Linked DNA regions of Danio rerio. The protein of the gene in region 1 interacts with the protein of each later gene in a pairwise test. Links are inferred from orthologs where the notes say so. Each region holds a gene or a part of one and is shown in the gene's direction. Other genes may lie near its edges. The genes, in order: tsen54 and clp1.

Evidence for each region.
Region 2: the proteins of tsen54 (region 1) and clp1 interact in binary tests that used the Homo sapiens proteins (3 or more experiments, as listed by UniProt). The link is inferred for Danio rerio from reciprocal best matches to the Homo sapiens genes TSEN54 and CLP1.

Annotation. Positions count from the first base shown.
Region 1 is NC_133178.1:65,630,830-65,635,174, forward strand, and holds the start of tsen54 (tRNA-splicing endonuclease subunit Sen54), read left to right. Parts: upstream 1-1,334; 5' UTR 1,335-1,362; coding exon 1,363-1,427; intron 1,428-4,345.
Region 2 is NC_133189.1:53,766,700-53,771,100, forward strand, and holds the start of clp1 (polyribonucleotide 5'-hydroxyl-kinase Clp1), read left to right. Parts: upstream 1-1,581; 5' UTR 1,582-1,847; intron 1,848-4,383; 5' UTR 4,384-4,385; coding exon 4,386-4,401. UniProt on the Homo sapiens protein: Polynucleotide kinase that can phosphorylate the 5'-hydroxyl groups of double-stranded RNA (dsRNA), single-stranded RNA (ssRNA), double-stranded DNA (dsDNA) and double-stranded DNA:RNA hybrids. dsRNA is phosphorylated more efficiently than dsDNA, and the RNA component of a DNA:RNA hybrid is phosphorylated more efficiently than the DNA component.

The DNA of each region.
Region 1 (4,345 bases):
TACATTACTGTGAGGGTATTATTATGGTTAGAGTCACGGTGGATGTTAATAAAGTACAATTTAATGGGTAATTTAATAAATTATTTGAATAATTGTGGTTATAATCACTGTTTTTACATTACTGTGAGGATTGGGGTAGGAGTAGACATCAATAAAATACAATTTAATGGGTAATTTAATAAAAAATATCATAAATTCTGGTTATAATTACTGTTTTTACATTACTGTGAGGGTATTATTATGGTTAGAGTCACGGTGGATGTTAATAAAGTACAATTTAATGGGTAATTTAATAAATAATTTGAATTATACTCTGTATAATTACTGTTTTTACATTACTGTGAGGATTGGGGTAGGACATTAATACAATTCAATGGGTAATTTAATAAATAATATTAATAATCCTCGTTATAAGTACTGTATTTATCTTACTGAACAGGTATTTTTTATGGTTGGGGTCACAGTGTACCTTAATAAAATACCATTTAATTAGTAAATTATTAAATAATATAAATAACTCTGGTTGTAAGTACTATTTTACATTACTGTGATGGTATTTAATGGTTTGGGGTCATGGTGAATGTTAATAAAATACAATTTAATGGATATTTAAATTAATATTATAAATAATTATCATTATAATTACTGATTTAACATTACTGTGAGGGTATTTATACAATTAATGAGTAATTTCATAAATAATAGAAATGTTTATTGTTAACTTTCGGCCTTTGCTCTCCTCTAGTGGTGAAGACGCGCAGTCGCATTTGTGTATAGTGGATTTTTATTATAATTAATGTTATTTGTTATTATTATTTTAGTTACTTAAAAGAAATAAAAAATATATATATATTTGAATCAATACAGGAATAGGAATACAAGTTGGATAATAACCTGAGTTGTACGTAGGATAACAAAACAACAAACAAAAACGATATATAATGAAACAAATAAGTAGCAATAAAAGAAAGAGGAAGTAGAGTTAATTTAATAGTAATAAAAAGCGATAATTAACTTGGTGAAAGAAGAATGAGGTTTGGTTGGAAACCTCCAATTGATTGAACCACCAAACATTTAATGGGTCAATTTCAGTTAAGAAGTGAGCACAAAAGGAGGATAACTTGGGAAATTATTGTTTATTAATTAAATTTTGAAAATATAATAAACAAAAATTATATATAAATATATATATATATATATATATATATATATATATATATATATATATATATATATATATATATATATATATATATATATTCTTCGTTTTTATTTTTGGGAGTGTGTACCAAGTGTGTACAGTGACTCTTTGCGCACTAGGACCCGGAAGATACGCACACCGGACGGGGGGCGGCAGTAAACATGGCAGACGCAGACGCTTCAGCGGATGCTGGAAATAAACAAAGTGTTTATCACGAGCTGCTCAGGTAACTGACACAATTAACTTATTTAGATCAAGCGTGTAGGTCTTCGTGTGTTGATTTGATCGATTTATTAGTAGTAGCGCAGTCATATAAATCCTCTGTTAGCCATATAGCACGGGAAACACGCCGCGAGTCCACCAAACTCAAGGATCATCACATCCTCGTCACGTGACTCAAAGTGGAAGCAGACTTTTATTTGTGATCCTGAATATTATTGTGAAGATCAACTCGGTTTTGTTTCTGCGTAATTTGTGTCGTTCAGTTTATGTTGATCAAACAAAAACATTAAATATCCTTTGATAGGTTTTAAAATATGTGTACAACAACATGGATGCCCAAACTTTTCCTATGAAGGGCCAAAATCCAAATATCGTTGAAAATAAATATCCCAAACTATGTTACATTAAAGTTGCCATGCGTAATTTTCTAATTCATTTAATAATATTTATAAATAGATATAAGCATTAATTTGAATCGTATTAACTAATGCAGTATAATTGTAATTATTGCAATAAGACGATCACATTTACAACAGTGTAGTTCTAGTCAAGAATCTGCCTTTGCCTTGATTCGCTCTCTGCATTGTCCTCTATCTGTCGCGTAACAGTATGTACATTTAACCTAAATCTCATTAACTTAAACCATTTCAATTAAAATATTTAATTTCAGTTAGGCTTTTTGTAGCTTAACAATAAAACAAACCGTTAAAGTTTACATAAAATTTGAAATGACAATCTCTAAACCAGGGGTCAGCCATCTCGGTTGTGAAGGACCTGCGTCCCTGCAGGGTTTAGGGTTCAAAATTAATATTGTAAATAATTATCATTATAATTACTGCTTTTACATTACTGTGAGGGTATTATTATGGGTAGAGTCACGGTGGATGTTAATAAAATACAATTTAATGAGTAATTTAATAAATAATATGAATATTACTCTGTATAATCACTGTTTTTACATTACTGTGAGGATTGGGGTAGGAGTAGACATTAATACAATACAATGGGTAATTTAATAAATAATATTAGTAATTCTCATTATAAATACTGTTTTTATCTTACTGAACAGGTATTTTTTATGGTTGGGGTCACGGTGTACCTTAACAGTATGTATATTTAAGCTAAATCTCATTAACTTAAACCATTTCAATTAAAACATTTAATTTCAGTTAGGTTTTTTGTAGCCTAACAATAAAACAAACCATTAAAGTTTACATAAAATTTGAAATGACAATCTCTAAACCAGGGGTCACCAATCTCGGTTGTGAAGGACCTGCGTCCCTGCAGGGTTTAGCTCCAACTTGCCTCAACACACCTGCCTGGATGTTTTTAGTATACCTAGTAATACCTTGATTAGCTTGTTTAGGTGGATTTGATTAGGGTTAGAGCTATAATCTGCAGGACACCGGCCCTCCAGGAACAAGTTTGGTGACCCGTGCTCTAAACCATCCCCATCATTTTCCCTCTTTTCTAAGATGGGCCAAATTAAAGGTCACCATGGGCCAACTTTGGGCATCTTCTGGTATACAACAATCAACTAAAAATAATTCAGACAACTCGTAGCATGATAATATTTACATTACTATTAAAAGTATTAACTATTAATGCACTTCTGCAGTACATATAAATAAATGACATCTGAATAATTTTTGGTGTGATTGTAAGTAGGCATGGGCCGGTATACGTTTGTGAGTCTCATAACCTTGGATAAAAAGCATCATGGTATGAAGGTATTGTGGTTACAGCTCTATAATAAGTTTTTTTTAAATGTCTCAGTTAAAAAAACAACATTTTTGTCCCCATTGAGCACATTATACAGTATTTTATTTGACATTTTTTCAATTTACAATTCACATTTACACTATGGGTCTGAGAAAAGCGTATTATAAATAATATGTATTAATATTATTTTTTTATTATTATTAATAAATCATTGACTTCTGCTATCTTTATTAGAAAAAAAAAAACACAGATTTCTTTAAAACACATTAAAAACACTTAAAAAAACCTTTACACATACCTTAGGAACGGTTTTGCGGTTTTAAAACCTTGACTTTTTTTCTTTGAGAAACCGGTGATCATCCCGTGTCTAATTATAAGACGTAAACAAAGCAAAATTCAATAAGTTGTACTTTTTTGTTGTTGTCAGCAGAGGTGAGTAGAGTTTGCAAAATCTATACTCAAGTAAAAGTAACTTAATCTTAAAAGTTACTCGAAGATGACGTCGCTTACATCTGATTGTATGTTTTCTTGCGCAGCTGGATGTTGAACTCAGGAAAAATAATGCTTTGTTTTGGACAAAACTGATTAGATAAAGTCACACCTGAGGATTCTGCTTGGTCTTAAAGCCTTTTTCAATGGATTGATTTCACTATTTATGATGGCATAGCACTTACAATAAGACAAATGAGCTCATGTATGGGACAAATTCTGGACCTTTATTATTGAGGGGTGAGTCTTTCCAACCACCCGAGCCCCTCACTGGCTATGGCCCTGACTAGTTACCATTAATAAGGTTCAAATTGGGATAACATAACATTGACACTTACCACTAACGTTACTTTTTTCAGGTTGAGCTGGAATTCATGTATACATTTTTGATGTCAGTTCAATGTAGAACGTGCATCGCATTGTCAATATATTCTTGTTGACATTTTGAAGTGAAAACAGACTGAACTTGAGGTCGGGTGACCTGGTCCGGTAAACTCACTGCACAGACAGCATGACCGTCCTTCTCGGAACCGCAGATGGCCATGGCGTGACCGCAGTATAAACTCGCCAACACAATCTCACGGCATTTCGTAACTTTTTGATTTAGTGGCTAATTCGTATGAATTCTTATGATCTAATTCGTACAATTTAGTACGATTTGCTCATCCCCCAATGACGTTTGAGTTTAGGGGTGGGGTTAGGTCCCACACC
Region 2 (4,401 bases), on another chromosome or scaffold:
TATCAGACATACTGTGAAAATTTCCTTGCTCAGTTAAAAACCATTTGGGAAATATTTAAAAAAAAAAAAAAAAGAAAAAAATCGAAAGGGGGCTAATAATTCTGACTTCAACTGTAAGCCTGTTGAATGCATTTGTATGCAACATGGTTTGACAATAAAGTAGTCTAACAAATAAATATTTGTTATAAATGTACCTTCATTAGTCAACATTTGGTGTAGGGAATAAAAAGTTAATCAAAAATGTCCTAAGACACAATGGTAATGTTATGGTTGTTACATAACTGTATTTATTATTATTCTGTATGTTTAAACCCAGCAGAATATACTATATATTTAACATGTCATAAGCGTACAGTTATTCAAACATTTGCTTAATAAAAATGTCCTAAGACAAGAATGGGTTTTGTTTTGGTTTTATGTCAAACTACTGTAAGTTTAGTTATCTATATCATAATATTGAAAGTCAGAGTTATTTTAATGACAAAAATCAATTAAAATGTCTCTTACTCAAGTACTTCAAGCATGCAAAAGTCAAATTAAAGTATGTAAAATACATTTTCCAATAACAAAACTTTGTCTTGTGAAAATGACCTGTGGGTGGTGAGGAAAAAAGTTAATGTCTAGTTATATATATATAAAAGAAGTTGAACAAGTTGTCATGATATTTAGTCATAATGCACTTTCTATACATTTATATTAGACTTTTTTCTACATCTATAATTGGTAAATTGCTCCCAGGTCAATCTTGACTTTGTCTAATAAAGGTGAGGTGTATCAGAAGGGAGATTGTCCTATGTTCACATTTCTACTTTTGTTTTTTTCTTTGTCCTGTGTAGTGCTGTATTTTCCTTTCTGTAACACAATGACATGATCTGGCAACAAATTACTGTACAAACAGCAAATAAATAAATAAATTAGCCACAGTTTACATCAGAACACCCCTCCAGAGTACACTGTTATACTGACAACATGACTAGGCCCACACAGAATCTACGTGCGCAGAATTCTGTTTATTTGCTTGTGTAAATGTATGTAAATCCATATTTACTCAGTTTTTTAATTATTTACAATAATATTATTGACTAATTTGAAAATTTTCGTATGAATGATTTACAATACAGTTTGTAAAGTTATATTTTCTGTCTTTTAGTAGAGATATTATATAAAAGACTTGCTTTGTTTACCAAATAAAGAGGATCTAATTGGACTTGCATTGTAAGCATTAAATAAAAGTTTAAAAGGTATTACTTTTTATTTAATAAAATAAGGTTTTAGTTATGATACTTCCAAAATAATAAATAAATCCGCAGATCTTTGACACAATTCTGTGCAGAAAAAATGTCCAGACTCCCTTCAGCTCTTCGGTTTCAGATTGCTCCCTTGTTTCAGAGATTTACTGTGGGTTATGGATAAAATACAGCATTTCAGTGATTTTTTTGCTGTAATAACTAGTCAGATGTCATCATAACCACACTTTAATGATGTACTAAAAAATTATATCTATGCAACCTAAAGAAGAAAACAGAAGAAGAGAAGATCTTGCCCGTTCATTGGTCAGCAGTAACATGACGACGTCTACAAGCGACACGACGTCATCACGATGGCGTGGTTTGACAGTCGCACCGCGCTGATGTGAGGAAAGTGCTGATTATTTGTAAATACAAAGGAACTTTAAATAGTGCTTAGTGTCACGGTACATTAGTTGATAGTACACGCTAAGTCATATGACCGTCGGTTTATTCAGCGGGCTAACGTTAATCGTAAGAAGCTAACAATTCAGTAATTTATCGGCTTGAAATAAAACAGTATTTCCCAGGATATATCGCCGATCGGACGACTTCACACAGGTACAATACAATAATTGCTGCTTTGTCTTTGTTTAAAGCACATACATTGCGCTAGCAAGTGAATATGGTCAAAAAAAACATGTCTGTGTCTAACGTTACATCACATTATATTTAGCTAAAATGCTAAAATGGCTACTTCAATATTTTAATAGACTTGAGTGAAAATAAAATGTCTAAATATGGTAATATATGGTATATAATGTACAACCGCCTTTTCAGAGTTCATAAGTTAGTAATTCTGTCCTATAACGTTTTTTTTTTAAAAAAAATATTTATAAAACAATATTGATCCTTTTTTGGAGTAAAGAAAAGTGTTTTGTGTTTTAATGTGTCATCAAACGTTTCGTCTTCAAAATGTCTGACAATATTGTCGCTATATATACATATACACATACACTACCTGACAAAAAGTTATGTTGCCAAAAGTTTTAGGAACAGCACATAATAATTTGACTTCTAGTTGATCATTTGGTATCAGAAGTGGCTTATATGAAGGGCAAAGGCCTTTAAATTACGCTTATTTTACCAAAATAAAATATGATCATGCCTTGATTTATAACTATTTCATTAATGCAGTAAGGTTTGACTTTGCTTAGACATGAGTCTTATCACTGAACAGAAATAATGTCCAGTATAGAATATAAAGTCCTGCTGCAGTGGAGACAGAATGAATATTGTGTCTGACTCCATCATGAGCTTGGAGGACTGCATCCATACATCTCTGCAATGACTCAAATCAAGTTCCTGCAGTACTCCCAGAGTTCATCAAGATCCTTTGCATTTATCTTCAATGCCTCTTGCTCTATCTTACCTCAGACATGCTCAATAATGTTCATGTCTGGTGATCGGGCTGGCCAATCCAGGAGCACCTTGACCATCTTTGCTTTCAGAAGCTTTGATGTGGAGGCTGAAGTATGAGGAGCGCTATCCTGCTGGAGAATTGTCCCTCTCCTGTGGTTTGTAATGTAATGGGCAGCACAAATGTCTTGATACCTCAGGCTGCTGATGTTCCCATCCACTCTGCAGATCTCTCGCACGCCCCCATACTGAATGTAACCCCAAACCATGATTTCTCCTTCACCAAACTTGATTGATTTCTATGAGAACCTTAGGTTCATGTGGGCTCCAGTAGGTCTTCAGCAGTATTTGTGATGATTAAGATGCAGTTCAACAAATAATTCATTGGAATAATCTACCTTCTGCCACTTTTCCAAATGATCAACTAGAATATATATATATATAACCAGGCAATAAAAAATTGTAATGAAGTCAATTTTTTCAAATATTAACATGGAAAATATAAAATTCTTTTTATTAATCTGTTTATAGACTGCTTTCATTGTGACTCCAGTCATACTAAAACTTCTATAGCTATTAAAATAGCCTAGTTACTATTCCCCCACCCTGTATATAAGATTGTTACACTGAATAGCATTTTAGTGGTTGTCCTAAATGAAGTTTCACAAACTAATTTCGAGAGGAGCATGTGATATGATTGACTGCAGCTGGCCACTCATCTACACTCATTAGCTAGCCAATCAGATTGATCCAAACTCACTATAAGTAACCTAGCTAACTAGCTAAGAACTACTCCCTTATCTTCGTTTCCCGAAGAAACCCCCCATCCACCCCTTCTCCTCCTTTCCTCTTTTGCCTAGGGGAGCTCTCGAGAACTCCTGATCTCGTACTCCCCTCACATGCTCAATGGACCTGGCGGGAGCCCTGGGCTCAACTATCTCCGAGCTCAGGGTTCTCTCCCGGGACAGCACGCCAAACCTGCTAACTTGCTAACAAGTTGTCGAACAGTATCTAAGTGTGAACTCTTGAAATAAATTGAATATATCAAATTGCAGTATTCATATGACAGAGAGGTGCAATAATTTGCATTTATTTTATGTGACAAGAATTTGTGTGTTGCATGCATTTGGTTAATTGTCCAAATTTGACCAATTGGATGGGGCTTTACACTTTATACCTGTGTCCCCAGTAGGTGCTGTTTTGATGTTGGCTAGACCGTCCCAAAGGGGAACTAAAAATACACTAATGGCAGGAGTCGAGACGATAGAAAATTCATTCATAGTGATTTAAAGTCAAAATTTTTACTCTATGACGTTGTTGTTCTTTGTTGAATAAATTAGATTTAATTAGATCAGAAAAATCTATTGCCTATTTATTTTTGTAAGTTTAAAAATCTATCTGGAGGTTTTATATCACAAGAAATATAATTATTGCAATACTTAAAAACAGTGCTTAGTATTGTGCAGCACTACTGTCTTCTATCATATGAAAAAATATATAAACAAGACACATCGTTCTATGCATGTTGGAATAAATATATAAATTCCATCTATTTTGATGCTTGAAAACCCTTTCCATCTTTTTATTTAATTTTTTATTAAGCAGAAATTTGAATAAAAGTAAGTACATGACGTGAAATTTATAGCATAATTTGCTGGTTTTAAACATACAGAATAATTCATAATGGATTGCAGTTATGTAAACAATCCTTTTCATCTCTGATAATTCTCCTTCACAGTCATGACGGCAGAAGCTG